Struthio camelus: one gene and its partner. The protein of the gene in region 1 interacts with the protein of each later gene in a pairwise test. Links are inferred from orthologs where the notes say so. Each region holds a gene or a part of one and is shown on either strand. Other genes may lie near its edges. The genes, in order: GPN1 and GPN2.

The links.
Region 2: the proteins of GPN1 (region 1) and GPN2 interact in binary tests that used the Homo sapiens proteins (3 or more experiments, as listed by UniProt). The link is inferred for Struthio camelus from reciprocal best matches to the Homo sapiens genes GPN1 and GPN2.

What each region holds. Positions count from the first base shown.
Region 1 is NC_090944.1:467,529-478,297, forward strand, and holds the start of GPN1 (GPN-loop GTPase 1), read right to left. Parts: upstream 5,450-10,769; 5' UTR 5,397-5,449; coding exon 5,301-5,396; intron 5,228-5,300; coding exon 5,134-5,227; intron 4,091-5,133; coding exon 4,051-4,090; intron 2,491-4,050; coding exon 2,424-2,490; intron 1,683-2,423; coding exon 1,645-1,682; intron 1,076-1,644; coding exon 997-1,075; intron 895-996; coding exon 800-894; intron 1-799. Other genes in the region: ZNF512 (zinc finger protein 512), read left to right, coding at 6,364-6,495, 8,658-8,716, 10,003-10,211. UniProt on the Homo sapiens protein: Small GTPase required for proper nuclear import of RNA polymerase II (RNAPII). May act at an RNAP assembly step prior to nuclear import.
Region 2 is NC_090964.1:6,815,531-6,826,181, reverse strand, and holds the start of GPN2 (GPN-loop GTPase 2), read right to left. Parts: upstream 4,290-10,651; 5' UTR 4,200-4,289; intron 3,455-4,199; exon of another isoform or gene 3,275-3,454; intron 3,017-3,274; 5' UTR 2,988-3,016; coding exon 2,571-2,987; intron 1,003-2,570; coding exon 846-1,002; intron 386-845; coding exon 248-385; intron 92-247; coding exon 1-91. Other genes in the region: GPATCH3 (G patch domain-containing protein 3), read right to left, coding at 5,744-5,963, 6,600-6,727, 6,995-7,116, 7,391-7,450, 7,843-8,017, 9,391-9,812, 10,157-10,514. UniProt on the Homo sapiens protein: Small GTPase required for proper localization of RNA polymerase II and III (RNAPII and RNAPIII). May act at an RNAP assembly step prior to nuclear import.

The DNA of each region.
Region 1 (10,769 bases):
TGCCATCATCTGATTTGCCTGAAGCTCAGGAACAAAGGAAAAATCAGAATAAAAGCTTGTGACTTGTCACATAAAATACGAATGCCATTCTTTTCTTATTTACATGCTTTGTTTTCATTTGTTAGGCGGTGTCTCCACCTCTATATACTTTGTTAGGTACGAAGGGGACAACACAGTACTATGAAAGTATAACCACCCAGGCATGTATGTCATGAATGTGAAAAGCATCAGAAAGTTTCACACCTGCAAACAGCCCTATACATCGTCACAGTAATACCTGTAAAGATGTGTACCATCTTTAAATCTCCTTAGAGACTTAGTGGGTCTGTAGATATTGTAAATAAAAAGATTACAAACAGATATTTAATCTGCTAAACCTCTACTTGTTGAAAACCTAAGTTAGTCTCATCCTTTCTCAAAGAGGGCAAGAAGACAAAAACTTTAACAAAGTCAACACCTGAAAGGACTAAATGTAAAAAGAAGCTTTATAAAAGAAGCTGACATTGTAATTCACGTATTTAATAATTTGACTGCCCCATTTTAAACTGAGTAGCAGAAATCCATCATTCAAGCCAGCACACAGACTGGATATAGTCACTATAACAGTCTGGCTACACCTTCCCCGTGAACAAAAAGCCCCAAATCCTCGCTGCTTCCTCTCAACCACTTTCCCAAGAATTGAGATAGACAGATTCTCCTCATCTGAAAAGCCCCTCAGATGAAATCCAAACAAATATTCCCCCCAAAATAGCGATGAAAGAGACATAGCAATCAAAAATGGATTTTCAGCATTTCCTACCTGCAGGCATACAGCATATTAGACATAAAGGTGATAGGATTAGTGCTGCGAGAGGTATCCATCACATAAACAACAACTGATGGAAAAGAGGAAGCCTGGAAACACATGGTAAAAGATATTTTAGTTAGAAGTAGAGGCTATTCAATCGCCACTTTGTTCACACAACCTTGCTGTCAAGTCCTGTAGAATATACTTACCAGTGCCTCAGTTATGATGGTTCCTGATGCTGACCAGGTGAATACCTCTATTTGTCCTGGTGTGTCAATGATAACATACCTGTTAAGAAATCATCCCCAACAAACAAAAAAAAAGAGGGGAGGAAACTAGTCAAGTACAAGGTGCTGGTGAGATCAGATTACCAGAGGCGTGGGAACGGCAGATCACATGACTATTTTGTTACGGATCAGGTAAGTTTCTCCCAAAGACTGACAAGATTTAAGGACAGGCCTGAAAATTTCCTTGTGCACCATGTAACTAAGAGGCACTTATTAATCTCTTCAGATACTATTAAAATCAAAAGCATGAATGTGACGGATACTTAACATTGTTAACTCCTCAGAACGAGAATTAACTGTTGCATATTTGAACAGTGAAGGAGGAAAATGAAGGTCTAATGGAAGACAAAAAAAGGCAGAACTGGCACCGGTAGATATTTCTTTCTTCAACTTACATGTATCAGGTAAGAGTCTAGTTTATCTTTTCTAATTCTATGTCCTTTTTCAGATAAAATTTAAACTGAAACAAAAAGAAAAACAACTAGAAAACATGCAAAGATCCTTTTTAGGGTCTCGCATGGTTTTCCCACAGTGATTCCAAAACAGTAAGACTTCATAGAGCATACTCACTTGGATGCATTTTGTCTTTTTTCAATAAACTTCATGACCTGATTGAAAAGAAAAAGTAGCAGTTTATCTTGCACTTAGGCTCAAAACAAGAAGCTTTTAGAATTGTTCTGTATATAGAAACTATACCAGCTTAAACACGCACAGCTACATGTGCAAATCAAAGCTCTTAAGCTTTTCAACGTGTGGAAATGCCCTACTAAGGAAGGGTGGAAAATGCTCAGACACTGCATGTGCCACAACAACTTTAACTTTGCCCACATTCTAGTACCTGGCTAAAGAATCTGTATAATAAAGGCAGTTGTTCCCTACCTTTTTACTAAGGGATTGTGCAGTGCTTCAATGTCGTGTGTAAGGTTCCCAGCATTGGGATTAAGATTCAAGAGAGCAGTCAGGTTTCTCTAGTGACACTGGATAACTGACTGATCTCCAGAAGTCAGCTTCCCTACTCCAGAATCAGAGCATTCATAAAAAAGATGAAAATCTTGCAGGGAACATAGTGTAACAGAATAGTTTTGTACAAAGACTAAAGTATCAATGTTCTGTACATATGGCTTCTAAGTTTTACCCCCACAAAAAAGGTGGAAAACTGCTCTCTCTCTCAAATTGAGAGCTAATGTAGTTCAGCTACTTTACAGGATACATGGTCCAGCAGGGAGAATAACTCAGAAGAAAAATTAACTGGCTGAATCAAACAATGTTCTCTGAAACTACAGATCGAGAAATAAATAACAGTCTCCCACAAACACGTAGCACAGTATCACACGGAAACAACCTCGTACCTGATCAAATCTTGTAGCAAAGAGATTGAGAGAGGTCACTATTCCACCATTTGGGCCCAGCCCATATCTGGATACTTTATTTAGGAAAGCCTATAATTACACAGACCTCAGAGTGCTTCCTTCTCAAATCTGATAATAGGGGGTCATTTACAATGCACATTGGGCACCTTGCAGCAAAAGACAACGTCAGTAACTCTAAAGGGCACATATTTAAGTTTCCTAAGTGATGCAGTAACATAACAAATACAAAGCAGTCTGTCTCTTGCACAAACACATGGATGATTGACAAAAAGGAAAAGGGGCTACACCATGGCCTTCCCTTGATCATCATTCAAGCATTACAGTTTTTTCCTCTTTGTCCAAAATGATCAAAGCAATCTTCATCAAATTCTGAGTTACTGGCTGCGGTGTTATAAATCTTTTCGGAAAGATAATGTCCTGAATACACTGAAACTTTAAGAATGCATATTTCAAAACATAATTAAAGAATTTCTTGCACAAATTAGTTTTTAGGTAAATGTAAAGGGAAAGAATGGGAATGAGCTTCGTAAAAACACTCAGCTTATCAAAGACAGCTTAAAGATGAAGATGTTAAAATGCTTTGCACACATACGGATCTATGTGCAATGAAGGAAAGAATCTTTTATTACATTAAATATTTTATTTACTGCACAAGAACCAGCACTGATTCATCAGTACAGGCAGTCTTCCAGCGCCACTGCTCTCAATGTCCAAACAAGCTGCCCAACACTCTCCTTAAGCACTATTTAATGAGATGGTTAAACTCCAGTAATGGCTAACAACAGACACAGTAGAGCAAATAACGCATCTGTGTACCAAATTTAAACTTATACTCAGATGGTTTTTGTTAGTAAATCCTAATCAAACACCAGCAAAAGTCAGAATCCTAACCCCCACCATCATTCTTCTTTTCTAAAATATTTTAATTAAGAGTTTCACTCGTATGCCAAATCTAAACCCTGCACAGCATCTCCATCTGCAAAAGCCATTACTTAGGAGGTCAAAGGACTTCCATATCCCACTGGGGGTGCAGTCATTTTAGTGTCATGTCACTGAACTACAGTCAAACTATTGTGTAGCAAGAGCAAATGGTCCAATGTCTTAAGAGATTCAGAAAGACAACAGGGCTTTATGTTCAAATCATGTGGAAAGCTGCCTAGATAGAGAGAGAGAGAAAGAAGAAAAGTTTTCCCCACCTACTAAAGGCAAGCAGGAATTTGGATATGCTTATAACAAACAAAAACAGGGTTATACATGCATGGGAAAAAGGCTGTTGGCTTTCACAATGAAAGACACAAGCTGGTCTAAAGAACAGAAAAGAGAGGTGGACAGAGTGCTTCTTATTTGTGAAAAGGTATTCCTAGGCTGAATCACTGTTAGCACAGGAGAAGGGAACGACCTAAGGAGTATCAGATCTTGTTCAAAATGCATTTCTAATCTTCAATGTAAGAAATACCCAGTCAAAAACTTCTGGTCTTTGCACAACGTTCTGAGTTACTCCAATCCCCAATACACACCCCTCTCTTCATTCTAAAGGGCAGAAGAGATGGCCAACTTTCACGTATTTGGAAATTTTACAGATCATTGTAAGAGGAAAAAAGGATACTGTTTCATGACTTCCTTGTACTTCACTGTGTCCCGGATATCTGGAGGGAGAAGAAGTATAAATAGTTTTAAGACATTACTTCAAAAATAGCTTTGTTTATCAACATGCTGATAAGAGAAAGCCTTTCCTTGTCCAGCAGCTCTCCTTTTGCCTCAATAATAAATCTAGCAACAACAGAAGACTCACAGATAGAATACATAAAATATAATGGATTTGCTATGCTGTCGACATACCTATAAAACCCAAGGTAATTCATGTGAAATATCTCCAGTGTAAGTACTTAGCTGTAACTGCTTACATTGAATTTTCTTCTCAGTTGGCCAACATCAGTTAACAAAGTACAAGTATTTAACTGCATTATGAGAGATCTGGCATTAGAATGCTTTCTCCAGTTCTTCATTTGACACCAGTAAAAATACTTCAGTATCCACACCACCTTTATTATTGCCCAGAGAACCAGGCTGATGAGCTCTAGAAAGTATAAAAGATAGGACCACCACAAATCCAAGGAACAGTAAGCCCTTAGGCATGACAAGCCTTTAGGAATGAGCGGACACAAGGTCTGTTTTATTATTAAGATCTTTTCCTTAAAATTAACGTATTTTAAAGTGTTTGAAAAAAGTTGAAAAGGAGAGGAAAGACCTGGAGGGTCTGAACAGGTCAAACCTGTTACCATGTTCAGCACTGATAAAGGGAAACAAACAAACAAACAAACAAAAACAACAGAAACCAAACAGAGCATCATCAAATCACACAAGGCAATGCAAAAAGGTACAAACAAGATGGTAAGATAGCACTGGTCTCAAGAAATACATGACTAAGAAAAAAGTTTGTTAGGAGAAAAGAATCAAAAGTCAAGAAAAAAAATATTACACGGAGGCCCTTCTCATGCTAGCATTTGCCATCTTTTTAAAGGAGCATAAACAACCTAGCCAAACGCCTTACAAAGCACGGCCCGCATTTCCGTGAAACGCGGGAAAACCAGTACACCACAAACGCTTTAACCTATGGAAAAACGGGCTTGCTCCGCTCTGGCGGACCCCTGAGGCGAGCCCCCCGGCTGCCCCGCGCCGCAGGCCTCACCGATGTTGGCGGGGAAGGGCAGGTCGTGCACGGCCGGGTCCAGGTTGATGACGTACGGCGGGCAGCGCTGGCCGTGCAGGTGGGCCGCGAGGCGCTGCGGGGACACGAGCAGACGTCAGGCCGGGCGGGGGGCGGAGAACGGCCCCGGCCCGGCCCCTGCCGCTCACCTGCACGAAGGTGGTTTTCCCGCAGCCGGCCATGCCCAGCACCAGCACGCACACCGCAGGCGCCGCCGCCGCCGCCGCCTCGCTCGCCGCCGCCATCTTCCCAGTGTCCACTTGTCCTTCCGGGGCGCGGGGGAGGCGGGGGCAGGACGCCGGCAGGGCAGGACGCCGGCAGGGCAGGCCCCGCCGCGCCGCACCGTCCCGCTCCGCCGCCCCGCCGCCGGGCGGGCGCCCCGCACCGAGCCGTCCGCCCGGGCCCCGCTAGCCGCCGCGAGGAGGCGCCCGGAAGCGACCGGGCGGGCGGGAGTTTCCGCCCGGTGCGTGCTGACGTGGCGGCACCATGCGGGGCGGCGGCGGCGGCTCGGTGAGTGCCCGCGGCCTTCGCCGTCGGCTGCTGCCCCGGGCGGGCCATGGGCCCGACGCCGGTCCCGGGCGGGGAGGGGGGGGGGAGGGCGCACAGGGCCGGAAGCCGCCGCGAGATGGGTTCCGCCATCAGCACGGCGGCACCGGGGCGGCCGCGGCGGGGCGGGACCGCCGCCTCGCCCCGAGGGTCCTTCCGGGCCGCGGGCTGGGGACGGCGCGGCGAGCGGGCCCAGCCCGAGGCCGGGCCCCCGCTTATCACCGCCCGCCGGCTGGTCCTCGCGCCGGGACTGCGGCGTGCCCGCAGAGCCGCCGCCGCCGCGGTAGCGCCGGGTTTCCGCTTCGAGCCCGGGCGCCGGCCCGGCAGGCGCCGGCGGCCGTGGGGAGGGGCCCGGAGCGGGGTGCCGCCGGCTCCCGCCCCGGCGGGGCTATCCGTTTTGTCCTAGGAGGTCTTTATTTCAGGAAACGTCAGTCCGTGAAGCACGCAGGGAGCAATGAACGTGTGGGCTTAGAGCACGCAGTTGCCCAGAAGGGGCTGAGCCAGTCCTGCGTGCCCGGGGTTTACCTGGCGGGGTGGGACAGGCACAGCAGCCTGGAGTGCTTGATGCCTCCGCTGACGCCTCTTCTCCGCAGCTGTAGGTCTAGTTCAACTCCTCCAGCGGAGTTTCTGTCCTCTGTTTAAACACCATTTTTCAGACTAGGGCTTATGCGTGGTGGTGGAGCAGCCTGTCCCCAGCAGAAGGCCACGTTCCAGAGCCTGGAACGTCCTCCAAATCCTTGGATTTGGAGTAGCAGGAGTAGCACACCTGGGAAAGAAGTCCCTTCTTCATCCTTTCAGGTTGTAAGGTGCTACTTCTATTTGCCGTGTGTCCAGCCCTTGGCATTCCTGCATACTCTTGTCCTCAGTGTTTTCCCAGTGTTTTCCCAGTGATTTCTAAGTGGGAAATACATTGTATAAATAAGAAACACCCAACGCTTTAAATGTCAGCTTCTCTAGATGTTTTCTTCGTTCTTGCTGCTATCAGCCTCTCGGAAAGTAAGGCAAAACAGATCAGAGAGCTCCTTTTTGTTGCAGACCCTTAACTCTCACTCAAATTCTTCATGCTAATTCTCCAGTTTTATACAAAATCTTGCAGTCCTAAAAAATCTTAAAACATGTGCCATGTTTGTCAGTAGTTCAAGTTCTTCCAACGGGGAATTAGGCCAGCTGATCACAGTAGGCTATGCATATTCTTTTCTTTTTCTCATTGCAACTTCACAGGCCTAATCTTTTCCAGCGTCTCATCACGCTGCAGTTCCTCCAGGTTTCTGATGTAGGGGTCCCCAGACGTTGCTGTTAGTACTGCTCGTGGCGTGTGAGCCACGACAAAGTAATACAAACATTCAGTTCACTTTTCTTCCAAAGACGACAAGTGATTGTCAGAGTATTGGTCAAGCAGTTGTTAACGTATTTCCAGCTACTTTGTTAACCTCTCCACGAGAGCAGGCGCTAGAGGTAGAGGCCCAAGGAAAGTTTGACGGTCCCCGACTGCAGTTTAAGAATTCATATAGTTGATGTCCACGCTTGTTTCTGAGTCTCTTCCCTGGTGTGTACCTGGGGTTAGAAGTCTCTCGCTGATTGTCTTCCTAGGAAGAGTGACCTACTAGGTTATAGCAAGACTGTATTTTTATACGTGTGTATGTGTAGGTACATGCATGCACATATAGTAAAACTAACTTTACTGATCTTTTTTTTGCCACAATATAAGCAGAGGTTTAATTGAACTGCTCATCGTGATATCCAAATCTTTTTCAGTTGTTTATATATGTTCCTAAGCATAAATTAGAAGGTAGGAGCGTATAAGACAGATTCAAGTTAATCTTTCCAATGTGCAGTTGCATGTATTTTTTTAGTGATGAATTTCACTTGTCTTGAAGCTGCCTATTCCCTAGTCTCTTAGTACAGCGTCTGAAATTTCTCAGCATCTGCTTCTGACAAGTTATTACATTTTTATGACCTCTTCAAATTCTTTCACATACCTGTTCACTGTTTTCCCCAGATAATTTCTAATATTTATTTCTAATAACTAAGCACTTTATAGCATGGGTCCAGTTGACTCGTGTGTTACATTTTTCTATAAAGAAGATAGGTCGTTTGGGCATATTCCTTGTTTTCAGTCCCTTAGCCAGTTCTTATATGTGGCAATTTTATCTCTGTTTCTAGCTCACAGTTTTTTCTGTGTCATACTTTTACTGTGCATTGATTTTGTTTTCTGGTCAGTATAACCAAAATCTGTGTCCTGGGTTTCCCAATGAGGCATGAGATTGAGTCATTTAGTATTTGGAAGAAGGTAATAAATGATTCTCCACATGCCAAGAGAATGTCCTTTATATTGATTTAGGGTTGTCAATGGTATCTGTTGCATTACATGTCTTAATAAAAATACAAGAAGTAGAGAGCAATAAATGAGAAAAATCCTTTATTAAATAAGAAGAAAGATTTCGAGACGTGGATAAAGTAAACATTCAGTCAACTGATGGAGTATGACAAAGTAATGGAGATAAAACATGAAAAGAAAACTTAGAGGAGGCTAGAGCCAACATTCTTGACATGGAAAAAGCAAGACTAATTTCATTAAGGAAAGAAGAAGTACTATGGAAAAACTAGTAGGTTAGAATCTAAAATACTTTTCATCATGTGCTAAAGTCTAGGCAGAAAGCAGGTACCACTGAGTGAGTTGGAGACAAAGCATCTTCCATCATGCTATAGTGCAAGGGGAGAGATTGAATTTCATACGGGGAGAGGATTGGGGAGGGCCTTGTCCCTGTTTTGATTCCTGTTCTAATTCAACAGGAGTTGAAAGGGGTAAACGCTTCCTTGTTGCAGAAGACAGTGCTTTCCCTTTCAAAGCAATGGTACACAGCTCCTCAAAGTGCAGTTTATTGTGTTGAACTGAAAAATGAAACATGCAAGAAGAAAAAAAAATTATACTGCTAATCTGAATTGTTCTACTTTGTTAGGATGCCAGGCCTGAACATCACAGACAACAGAAGGTCAAGAGATCTCTGGGAAACAAAAAGTATGTGAACATTTCTTGTCAAGTTTGACTGAGGGCAAGGAAAAAGCTGAGCGATTCCTATTGGGAAGCTGTGTCTGATATTTTCAATAATAGCCTCAACAAAAAGAGCTGCAACCATTTTGATTTGTTTGATGAGAATCTCAATTGAGTTTGCTTATTAGCTCATTGGAAAAGCACTTTTCTGACACTTCAACTGGTATAAGCTTTCATTTTTGTTTTTTAAAAGGATTTTAACACTGGGAAGATAGAAATTATAGCTTGAAGAGCTAAATGGTGTTCCCAAATCCATGCATTTTGAGCATGAGAAATACTAATTCAAAGGTTTCAATCTGAGAATTCCTCTCAACAGCCTTCTACACTCCTCAAACATAGTGTGTGCTATCCCACCTGGTACAATCTGTCCCTGACTTCTTAACTTCTGTACCAAAGTGTTAAGGCATGAGCTCCACAGCTGGGGGTGTAGGAGAGTATTTCTGGGATGGCCATCACAGCTGTCATTCAAAAGATCTACTTGTTTCCCTTTGTGGATTCTGGCAGTAACAGGCTATGTTGATAATTGTTTTCCTTCTGCTCCTCTTACATTAATGGTATTTGCTCAGAGAATATGTACTCAGCGTCTTTTAGCAGCTTAATCGTTGCTGTCATGTACGGTAGTGTAAATGTCTGGGCATTTCAGGGCTGTGAGAAGTATTTGAGAAGAGTGCAGCAAAGTTCCATCTGATCTCTAGAGATAAAATCAGTGTTGCTGACTTCACATTCTAAATTAGTCTTAATATAATGTGATTCATAGGATATATCTTCAGGCTTTTATTGTTGAAGGCCTTGCCGGTTAAAGTTCTTCCTGGTGTTAAGTCTTTAATTTGTGTAATGTCAGCTCTCGTTCTGGGAATGCATACTGAAGGGGATCTTGCCCTTCATGAGAAGGAAAAGATTGGAAGAAGAGTCCTTATATTCCACACTGACAGCTTAAGGATAAATGTTTATTTTTAAACTGAGATGAACTTGCACCTGCTCCTTACTGTTGAAGGGTTGAGGTAGGATGAATTTTTTTTCTGCTGCTTTTGAGTAGCTCTCTAATGTCATTTTCTAAAAGAAGCAGTGAAAAATAATGTTTAGGATGTTTTACCTTGCTGGCACTTCTTTCACAAACCTCAGGAGAGTCAATGAACTGTGAGATGAATTTCTAGAGTGCTTGGGAAGATGAAAGGGATGTTGTCTATCAAGTCACTGTGGTTTTGTTTGTTTACGTACATACGTATATATGATTTCAAGTTGATGTATTCCAGATCTAAGCAATTTGAGGAGCTGGAAACTACTGTCCTAGGACTGAACAGTAACTATGATGAGACAGTCAGCAACGTTTCTTCTGCCTCATCCAAGAGTCGAGTGAACGGGAGTGCAGAGTCAAGAAGCAAGAGGACAATTCGCAGGCCTGCTTACTGGTTGGAAATGAGAGGAATAAAAACCAGCATTAACAAAACTTCAGGAAAAAAAGGTACTCATCACTCTTGGCTCTATATAAAACTATTTTTCTCTCCAATTCTTTTGTGAGAGATTGGATGAGTTTTGAAAGACTTGCTGAAGTTCAGCCACAAATTCCAAACTTGGTAATGATGTTTGTGTATTAGGAGAGAGAAACTTTTACTACTTCAGAATCTTAGGTAAAAATCTCTGCCTTGTGAGAGCAGGTCTGCATAACCTGCATAGTGTTATGAGTGACTTGCCTATTAAAATTAATGATTCTATGGCTGAACTCGGCTTTGTCTATAGAAGAAGTACGTCTAAGGGTTTTGCCAGCTGTTTCAGGAAAATGCTTTGACAGCTTTAAGAACAGAACAAAGCAACACTAAAAATGTACAAAAGTGGACCATGCAGCAGTATTCTGGATTAGACACAGCTTTTCTAGTTGTTAGACTTTTTTGTGGATTTTTAAAAATGTTTTAATTTTCTCATGATTTTCTGATTTAGAGTGGTTTGGAGGTCAAGATTATCTCTTACTTTGCTATAGTAAAGCAGGGACGTTCAGGTTTTCTGGTCTTAGGAGTTGTTTTCC
Region 2 (10,651 bases), on another chromosome or scaffold:
CGGCGGTAATTTCTGAAGAAGGGGTCGGAAGCTAAATGGTCAACCAAGTAGGAGAGGTCCAGGACCTCTGTGTAATAATCCAGGTTGAAGGCTGCAAGGAAACATCAGCAAAGGACCTTTCAGAACCTGCCTCCAGAGCACAGCACCTCCAGAGTGTGATTCAGATCTCACATGGGCTAAACACACCCCAGAGGTGCCCAACTTTCTGGATGCTCTAGAGCTTAGTATAACCGTGCTCCTAACTTACGATTAGGTGGGCCAGAGCCTTCCCCGCTGCGGGGAAGACACTGCTTCCCAAAGGCTCCATTAACAGCACAAAGCCCTTCCAGGCTCTTCAGCAGGTGGGTTTCAGCAATGGGGATTCTCCCACAGCAACATGCACCTGCTGAAGTGCAAATCGCAGCTTTGCCTTGCACACTCCTGCCAAATTCGGCTCACTTAGTTTAAATTAATATCAAATATGGATGCTAACAGGATCAAAAGCAGACAACAACTGCACCAGGGGAGACTCAGTTACCCCAGCAGCACTGAGGCTGGGCAGAGTGAGAGAGCAGCAGCTGGCGATGGCAAGAAAGAGCAGACTGTGACACACACTGGTCTGATGTGCTCCCACCGGACCCTTTGTCAGTGCTGTTTCTCCTGCTTCCTGAGCAAGTACCTCTGAGGGCACTTTGTGGGTATTGGGGCTTCCCCAGCCAGAACGTGCCACCAAGAAACCAGAAAAATTTAGAACCGTTCCCCGACCATCTCCCAGCAACACACCAGCGCAATGCTGCAGCTGAGCTGCTAGTCTGCCCCTGACCCAGCCCAACTCTACGTCTCTCTCTGGCAAAGACTCTTCTTACCCAGCTTGCCATATTGTTCGATCAGGTCCATCTTGGAGAGGACGTTAACGTGGGGCAGTTCCACGTGCAGCATGGTGGAGAGCGAGGTGCACAGGACAGAGATGAACTTGCCAGGATCCGTGCAGTAGTGAGAATCCACCAAGTGAACTGCTGCCAGCTGGATGGCAGAGGCGCAAGGGGAGAGCACAAGGTCAGACACAGCGAAGAGCCCCTCTACTCACTTTTGGGACGATCAAAGAAGTGGTTACTGAACGGACACGATTATAACCACATAGGTTCCCATATTATGAAAGTTACCTCCTAACTTCTAGCTTGTGTATATGAAACATCCTCATATAAATACACGCTTGTATACGTGTGTGTGTGTGTGTGTGTCTATTTATAGATCGACATTTACACACATAGACCACCCGAGGGATTCAGGGTGCCAGCAAAGAGAAAGACCCATGAGAAGACTTATAGAGGAGTTAAGCTCCACCAGCAGTGCTGACAGACACTTCGACTTGCTACTGCTCTTCTGTTTCTCAGGACTTTTTTCTTTTGCAGCTGAAGCAAGGAAACACGCTTGTCTGAACTCCGCAGATTTTTGGGGGTGGGAGTCTGGGTTAACTCTCATTTTGAATTACAGGACTGCCGTGAGATTCCCACCTTCCCCAAAGGAATGTTCATGCACGGTGTACACTCGGTAGCAGTAACTATAGTACACCATACTCTGCTGGGAGAAACAATTGTCATGTGGTTTGAAATAATAATTAATAATTAAATTAACGAGCAGTTTGATTCCCTGCGTTTCATGCAGCTCTAACAATGTGGCCTAAGATCTCTGTTAAGTTACTGCCTGTTACACAATGTTACTCAAAGTCAGGGCTCTATAGTCAAGTGTGGTTGAGTCACAGCTATGCTTCTGCAGCAGAAAAAGTAAGTGTAAAGCTCATAGGCAGGGGTAAGCACTGTTAGTGCTAAACTGAGCATCAAAAAAGAGCGTAACTATCTTATTTTAGCAACTGCAATTTCATGTACATTTATTTGAATAAAAATCAATTCTAATGTGCAGATTCCCAGTGACATTCTCAAGCAAATGAACCTGCCTTTCTTGCTCACACCATACATGGTGTGCACATTCATGGTTTGGCCCAAATGCAAAACAAATGCAACGTAGGCAAGTTAGCTTGGTGACGGGACTCTTCTCACCTGCATTTCCTAATTTGCATCTTCCATTGTGCAAGAAAGCACACGGCACATATTACAGCGTGCACAGCGATTCGGGTTGGCTGCAGGAGTGGCAGGTAGGGCCTGAGATGATGCTGACTTTCTCACAGTGCAATGCCAAGGATCCTGACTTCCCCAGCACACAAATCTACCTCCCTGCTCCAAAATATAGCCTCAGATAAAACATACAAGTTGCATGCACAGGACCTGAGAGCAAAGCCAGAGTGTGGGAGGAAAGAATCCCTCTTTCTACCCCTGATGATGCCACCGCCAAAGTCCTGAGCAAGGCACTCTTTGCCAATCCCTCCAAGCATAAAATGGGGGCAAAACTCTTCTCCTTCCCTGATAAACCCCTTGAACATGAAAGGACAAAGAGATTAGCAAAGAAAAGAATCATTATTTCCCACATCCACAACCAAAAGCTCCGATCACATGGTGTAAAAATCCTGAGCCCTTTTCACAAGCACACATGGGTCCAGGTGGTGATTCCAGCCACCTGCGAGGCCCCAAACCTACCCTGAAGTTCCACTTGGCCAACTGTGCGAAGACGTTCTTCAGGGCGTTGTGGTGGGTGTAGAGCTCCACCTGTCCCGGACAGTCAAACAAGTAGTAGTGACCCCTGAAGGCAGCCAGCTTCTCCTGCAGCCAGTCGAAGTTGGCCTCCAGGTACTCCATGCAGTAGATCAACCCGCCGTTGGGCCCCAGCTTCAAATTCTCCATCACGTCCGGCAGGGTGATGAGCTCGGAGACATCCACGGCGCACTGGTAGGGCGTCACCTCGTTGGCGGGGTCCAGGTTCACCACGACCACCCGGCGCCCGATCCTGGCCATGAACTCCTGCATGCCGTGGCAGTAGGTCGTCTTCCCCGAGCCCGGAGGCCCAATCACTACCTGCCCGAAGGCCAGGGAGGCCCTTTGGCTGTTTTCAGACATCTTGGCTCATTTCCTTCTCCTCCTGTTGTCTGCAAGAGGAGCAGCTCAGCTTTACCGTTGTATTTGCGTCTATAAGAAGGCGATCCGCTGGGCCCCGAGCTCGGTGGGGAATCGGCCCGCCAGGAGCGGGCGGAGGGGCAGGGAAAGCACCACTGCGTGACCGCGGCCTCCCGCACGGCCACATCGCAGTCAGGACATTGTCCTGCGCCCGCCGTTACCCCCCTCCCGCCCGGCCTCTCCAGCAATGCCGCCGCGGCCGAACGTGGGCGCAAAGCTCCCCGTGAGACCCGTGGGGTGGTCGGTGTCTGGGGGACGCGGGCCCCCGCTCCTGTTTGGGGTGACTTTTGCCCTGGTTGGGTCCTTCCCGATGTGACAACCACTGGCGTGGCCCTTCCCTGGCCACAGCATGTCCCCTCTCCCCTCTTCCACCATGTCCCCAGGCTGTTCCTGCATCCCCTGTGTCCTCTCCCCATGTCCCTTGTTCCCCCCATATCCCTTGTCCTCCCCCCACATCTCTTGTCCCCCAAGCTCCTTGTCCTCCCCCATGTCCCTTGTCCTCTCCCCACGTCCCTTGTCCCCCATGTTCCTTGTCCTCCCCCATGTCCCTTGTCCTCCCCCCATGTCCCTTGTCCCCCATGTTCCTTGTCCTCCCCCATGTCCCTTGTCCTCCTCCCACGTTCCTTGTCCCATGTTCCTTGTCCTCCCCCATGTCCCTTGTCCTCCCCCCATGTCCCTTGTCCCCCATGTTCCTTGTCCTCTCCCATGTCCCTTGTCCTCCTCCCACGTCCCTTGTCCCATGTTCCTTGTCCTCCCCCATGTCCCTTGTCCTCCCCCCACGTCCCTTGTCCCCCATGTTCCTTGTCCTCTCCCCACATCCCTTGTCCTTCTCCATGTCCCTTGTCCCCCCACGTCCCTTGTCCTCCCCCACATCCCTTGTCCTCCCATGTCCCTTGTCCCCATGTCCCTTGTCCCCCCCACGTCCCTTGTCCTCCTCCATGTCCCTTGTCCCCTCCAGTCCCTTGTCCTCCCAAGTCCCTTGTCCCCATGTCTCTTGTCCCATGTCCCTTGCCCTCCTCCATGTCCCTTGTCCTCCCCCCACGTCCCTTGTCCTCCCCCCATGTCCCTTGTCCCCCCCCCACGTCCCCTCTCCACCCCCATCACCACGCTTCCCCCACGTCCCCTCCGCCCCCCGCCGCGCTCCCCGCCGCTCACCCCCCAACGCCGCCGCGCCGGTGCCCCCGGCCGCGGGTCCGGGCTGCCCCGCGCGCCGCGTTCCGCGTTCCGGCCGGCCACACCGCTGCGGCGCCCCCTGGCGGCCGGCGGGACGCGCCGCCGCCGCGGGAGCCGAGGGCGCAGCCGGACGCCGAGCCCCGGCCGACCGCGGGCGGCGGGTTCGCGTCCCGGCCCCGCCTGCGGGTCGCGGCGGCCCTGCCGGCGCTACGGAACAGGGGTTTCCTGCAAAAACCCCCCACTCCAGCGCCCCTCACACGAGGGGTCTGGTACAGCAAGGCTGGATAAGGCAGCTCAGCCGTGCTACCCCTTGCAGGAGGAAAAAAACCCACAGAGGTGACTTTTGTTACAGATCTGTTTCTAAACTATACTATATTCTATGGTAAATGTGTATTAACGGCCTGCTCCAGCCCCAAGAGCAGCAGGAGCAGGCTGCAGGTGACAGGACCAACACAAAGGCTCTGTGACAGCAACCCAGCCGCTGATTTCCTTACCAGCCCTGATAAACCCACTGAAGTCTGAGATTAGAAGCAGGCAGCCCCAGCGAGAGCACGGCGAGGAACACAATATGTGCCACAGCAAGAGTTACAAGCCCCATCAAAGGGAGGTCTCAGCTTGCAGGAGCAGCAGCTGCCCTTGCTGCCAAGGCTAAGTCCTCCTGTCCCTCCGGGCTGCTGACCTGCAACCGAGTTCAGTCATTCATTGCAAAGAAAAGGGAAACTGCTCTCTGTGTCACTCCCACTACGGCTAGAGCTTTAATGAAGGAGTCCGGGGTGTCTGGCCAGCCTAACGTGGCCAGGCCACAGCCTGCAGGCAGGCAGAATGCTAATTCATGTCTAACGCTGCAGTACAGGGTCACAAGGCTGAAGGCTCTCTCCGCAGGAGAGACTGGGGACGCTGCAGCCTGGGAAAGGCTGCCTGTGTCAGGGAAACAGGCAGAACATGGCCCTGCATGTCCAAGAGCCATGGAAGGAAGCACTGCTACGCCCGACCGCAGGGAGACGCCTCCTGCAGAGCTCCTCTGAAAGCTGCCAGGACGTGTCTTTCATCAAGGCAAGTTTCTCCTGTGACTGTGGGATCGTCACGCCCAGGCAACGTGAGGCTGCAGGCCAGCAGCAAGCTGTCTGCAGGACAGTTACTGTGCCACGTTTGGCCTTGTCTGTACTTGTCCTCCCCTGGGTCTCAGGCAGCCATGAACTACGAGCTCCGATCTTCAGGCTGAACTGGCTACAGACCTAGAACACAACCTTGGCTAATCCAGGGAGCAGCCTTCCCCCTAGCATTGGCTTTAAAGCATCAGTCATCTCCCCAACCTCACTGAGCAAATGGGATAAGCAATGTCTCCCCTGGCTTGAAATAGCTCAAGTAAGAAGGAAAAAACCCACAAAAGCAATTTTTGTTACAACTCCATTTCTTCCAAAAATAAATATACTAACAACGCCCTGCTCCAGACCTGAGACCAGCAGGAGCCAGCCTGCGGTAGGAGGGAGGCAGGACCAGTACAAAGGCTCTGTGACAGTCCGTGCTTAGTGCGACAGGGCACTGGGTCTCTCCTGAGCACCATAGGACGCCCGGACAAATGGCATGTCCTGTCTGTACTTCATGGCAGTGGGCGGCTGGCGCCTGAGCAGTAGGTCACCACTGTCCATTGGCTCAGGGTCATCATAGATGGTGGAGATGAGGATGGGACCATCTCGCCGAGGCTTCTTTACCTTGCTGAAGGTCGGCAGTTTCTCCCCATGGTACCTGGAGGGAAGCAGGAAGCACTGGGTCCAGCACTGCTGAGGCAGTGGGAAACCCCTTTATACCCCAGGCCATCTCCTTCACACGCTACAAGGGAGGAGCAGGCCAATACAGGGCAAAAAAATAAATTATTTTCCTATTCCTGGCTGTGCGATGGCTCTAGAACAAAAGCCAGCCCTCACAGCATAATATAGCAATGCATAAAGCCTTTGGAAACCCCACAGAGAAGGTAGAGGGGAGATGCACAGCTCCAGCTCAGGTCACAAGATGACTATGGCAGAAGTGATCACGGCTTCAGATCTGAGCACAGCTCCCATACGGCTCTGCTCTCCTTCCATGCCTGTGTGCTGCACGAACCTGCAATGGGTCCATTCCTCCTCTTCTAATACCACAAGCCCAGGGCATCGCAAGCCCCTTTCAGGGAGAGCTGGACTGTCAGACTATGGGTCAGAAATGCAGCGTACTGTGCTCGAGAGCACTGCGGCAGGCCCTACTGCCTGCTGCACGGGGGAAGGCAGATCCCTGGGGTGGCCTTCCAGTTCTGGTTCACACTCTGCTCCTTTCACTGCCACTTAGCTGCCCTGTCAGTTCAGAGGGAGGCTCTGAACACGCGCCGGCAGGACAGGGTTGGGTACTTACCCCAGCCCCCTCTTGCATCTGGGATTCTGACCCTCGTTGTCCAAAGCTTCGGCCATTCCTGAGTTGCTGCTCCCCAGCCCCAGCCCTTCGGTCCAGCCCTGCTGCTCCAGCACCTTCCTGCCAATGCCCTGGGAGGGGAAAAAGTTGATCCACGTGAGCTTGCTCCAGGGCCAAGGCAGGATGGGTGCGGTTACGATCCAGGGTGACCTCGGGAGTTTGGTTCAAGGCTTCTGCAGAGATGCTGGACAAAGCCACCTCCTCACCCGCCCAGAACCCTCCTCCCCTACCACATGCCTAAGCTCTTTGCTCCCCCAAGACCCACATCCTTTAAGCATCACCACCACAGCCTTTCCTGGCCTGCCTCATCCACTCCAGAGTGCATAGCCAAAGCTCACCTTGGTGTATTTCTCAAAGGTCCCAATCTGTTGCCCTGAAACAGACCCATCCTCCAAGCCATCCCGGAGTCTCTGCTCCAGCCACATCTGGACCGAGTCCCGAGCATCCTTATCTCCTCCATCTAGGAAGAAAGAAGCAAGGATCAGAGCAGCACAGCTCAGGAAAGCCTTTCACCACTCTGATTTCCCCCAGAGCACCAAGCAGCAAGGAGGCAGAACCTGTTCCCCTTGGCAACTCTCGCTGCCAAACCAAAAAAAATGCTGTTTCAACTACTCTGACATCTTGGACACTTTCAAAGGATGACAGAGCCAAAGAGTCCCCCCACTGCAGAAATTCTGCAAGCTCAAGACTACCCTCTCTCTACCGCTTCCTAGGAGGGTTTTCAGCTCAGATACCTTTGTCATAGTAGATGCTCATGTCCACATCCCAATCGTCCGCAGTCTGCTCATCGAAGTCTGCCAAGAGAAAGAAACCATCAGTTTTGGTGGTGATGACTGTGAAAGCCTGACACAGAAGACTTGTCTGACAGCTGGAGAGCCCCCCATTTTCTCTAGCGAAATGAAAAGGAAAGGGTAGCTGGGATGCCACAAGCCACACTGCCTACAGAGAAGGCTGCCAGTAGGACCAGAGAGGGATCTCTGGCCGTTGGATTGAATGACTACAGGCTTTGTGAGAAAGGGAAAGTTTAACATGTGATGGCAAGATGCCTGCATCTGTAGCTGAACAGGAATAATTGTACAGGGTTGTACCTGATTTATCAGCTACTGCAGGACTTGGCCTCCAAGACCCCAGACAGTGGTGGTTAGTTTGCGGCTCAGTCTTGAGACACAAACGCTAACAACATTACCTCCGTTCTCCTCCTGCCAGTACTGAGCATCCGTGTAGAAGACCAGCCCAGAGCCACCTTTCTCCCACTTCAGCTCAATCTCCTCTTCAAAGAGCCGCTCCTCCATGCGGTCTTGCTTGGTCACGTCCTCATGCAAAGCCTCATGTCGCTCCCACTCCTCACAGGTATCGTTGTCCTGCAAAGGAAGCAGTGAAAGGTGAGCAATAGTGACAGCACACGGCCCAGCCTCCTCCCCATTTCCCTGACCCTCACGGTCCATTGCAATGCCTTCGCTGTGAAACAGCTTCGTCAACAGAGCTCGTTCCAGCCTGCTGTTTTCAGGCACTAACATGACTCGCACTGATGACTTCATTCCCCTGACTAATGCCATCTTCAGAGTCAGCAGACAAAAGTGATGAAAATACCACATCACACCCACTTCACAGCAGCCTTTCAGCAACATAGCCAATCCGTAACACAAAGATGCCCATTTAAGGAGCAGGCCTGTCGTACGTAAAGTCAGCGCTAGCGACAAATTAATTCCAGTCAAGTTGATCCTTAAGAGAGATTGTATCATTTCAAGAGAAGAAGCTTGCTGGCAGAGCCATAGATCAAACTGACAGCTTTGCTGCTGGCTGCCCAGTTTGGGCACAGCCCTTCATGAAGACATCAACCAACTAAAGAACAGCCAAAAGAATGATTAGAGATCCAGGAAACAGAGCCTGTGAGAAAAGGCTAGAGGAGTCAAGTTGTTTAGTCTGGAAGAGAAAAGACTGAAGGCAGCTGTTGAATAAGAAGTTTGTAAAGACGGGAACAAAGTGTTCTCGGTGTCTGCTGTTGCTAGGATAACCTAATGGAATAAAATTGCAGCAAAGAAGATTTGGCGTACAAGTTTATTCTGGTGTATAATGGCGAGAACAGCTGAGAACGGGAATGGCTTGCCTGGGGATTGTACTACCCCTCTAATGACAGAGGTTTATGAGAACAGACTAGACAAGCGTCTGTCACGTGGGGGCGAGTGAGATAGTCTGTGGGGAACCTGTCCAGCCCAGTTGTCTAGGAGTCTTTGTCAGGAAAATCATTCTTCTCGGGACATGGAATGAATAACTTTAAGCACAAGGGCATCCAAGGTCAAGCATTTGTACAGCTTCACATGTCATTTTGAAAACACTAATGCGCTTCTAAATCTCCAGCCACATCATTTATAAGCAACAGCAGAGCCAGGACAGTCCGCCAAGTGGCGGGGCGGAGACCTCCACCTGGAGCACTAGCCTCAGCCTGTGCTTGTTCTTTTGGGCCAAGCCCTTTGAGCTGAACAGTTTTATCTCCCTAAAACTGGCCTAATTTGGACAACCAGCTTCAGAGACGCTAATGTCAACACCACCACGTGCACCAAGGGTCTTGGTGCACCACAATTTGAACAACTTTGTTCTAACACCATTTTCAGACAAATGATCTACCCAATACAATTAAGAAATGAAAAATAAGCTCTGAGAGAGTTATATTGACCCTCCCAGCTTTGCAGTCATAACGATTAACCTTAGATGTTAACAGGAGAAATCCACTTACATCATCTGAGTGCGACTCTTCCGCTTCCTCCTTCTCCAGTCCCGCCCCATCTTCCTCAGCACTGACTGAATTGGACATCTCAGACCTTGCCACAGGCCCCTCGTCCTCTGTGATCTCGTCCCCTGCTGCAGTATAAACTCCTTCTTCTCCTGTAACTGTCTCAGTGTCCTGGTATTCAAAAGGCACATTCCCATACCTACGGGATGAGCCCGTCTTGGGAAAATCCAGCTGCAATTTCTTGATAATCCGGGGAGGCAGCCTGCAGGCCCGGATCAACTCCAGAAAAACTTTCAAAGGTGTTCCCACGTTCCCATGAGGCATGAACGCAGGCGGGTTTAACTCCGGCAGCCGCTTCAAATCCGCCTCAGCGACAGAATCGCTCGCAGCCATCTTGTCACCTCTGTAGGGAAATGTCTCTGCACCTGGAGGAGAGGGAGGCAAGGATTTCAGGGGAGGGAGAAAACACACACTCGGGCACACCACCAGAGAGGGGATAAATCAGGCGCCCTCCCACATAGGCACCGGCCTCAAGCATTTTATAGACGGAGAAGATGAACGGAGCCAGAACCGACTCCTCCAACCCCACAGTGGATTTAAGGCAGGGAGAAAACTCCGTGAGGGGTTTTAACCATCCAGTGGACAGCAGCATAGGCTGGCTGCTGGGGCCGGGGGTTCCTTCGGGCCCGTTTGGCACCGGATCCCCCTCCCCAGGCCCGTGCGGGGAGGCGAGGCCTAGCTCAGGCCCCTCGGAAAGGCCCGGCCGTACCTGTACCGGGGCTGAGGCGGACCCTGCGGACGAGGCAGCGGCCGGGCAGCCAGGCCCCGCCAGGCCCGAGCCAGCGGCGCCCCGAGTACATGCGGACGAGGCGGCGGGCGCGCCCGGGCCGCACGGCCACCAGGCAGGAGCAAGTGCGCGGCGCCGCGGCTTCCCCGCCGCTCCCCGCCGCCGGCGGGCGCTCGGGGCGGTGCCGGTAGTGGAAGCAGAGGAAACCGCCGGCCTCGATGAACTGGCTGAAGTAGTGGCGGAGCTGTGCGGAACGGAGCGCCGCCGGGATGCCGCTCACCAGGCAGTAGCTGGCGGCAGCGGCGCCGCCATTACCGGCGCCACAGCTGGGCGCCGCCATCTTGTCGCCCCGCCCGGCAGGAGCCGAGCCGGCGCGCGACGCCGTGCGTCACTGCGGATCGGCGCGCGGGGATGACGTCAGCTCCCCGCCCCACCCAGCGCGGGCCGGGCGCCCCCTGGTGGCGGGCGGGCGGAGCA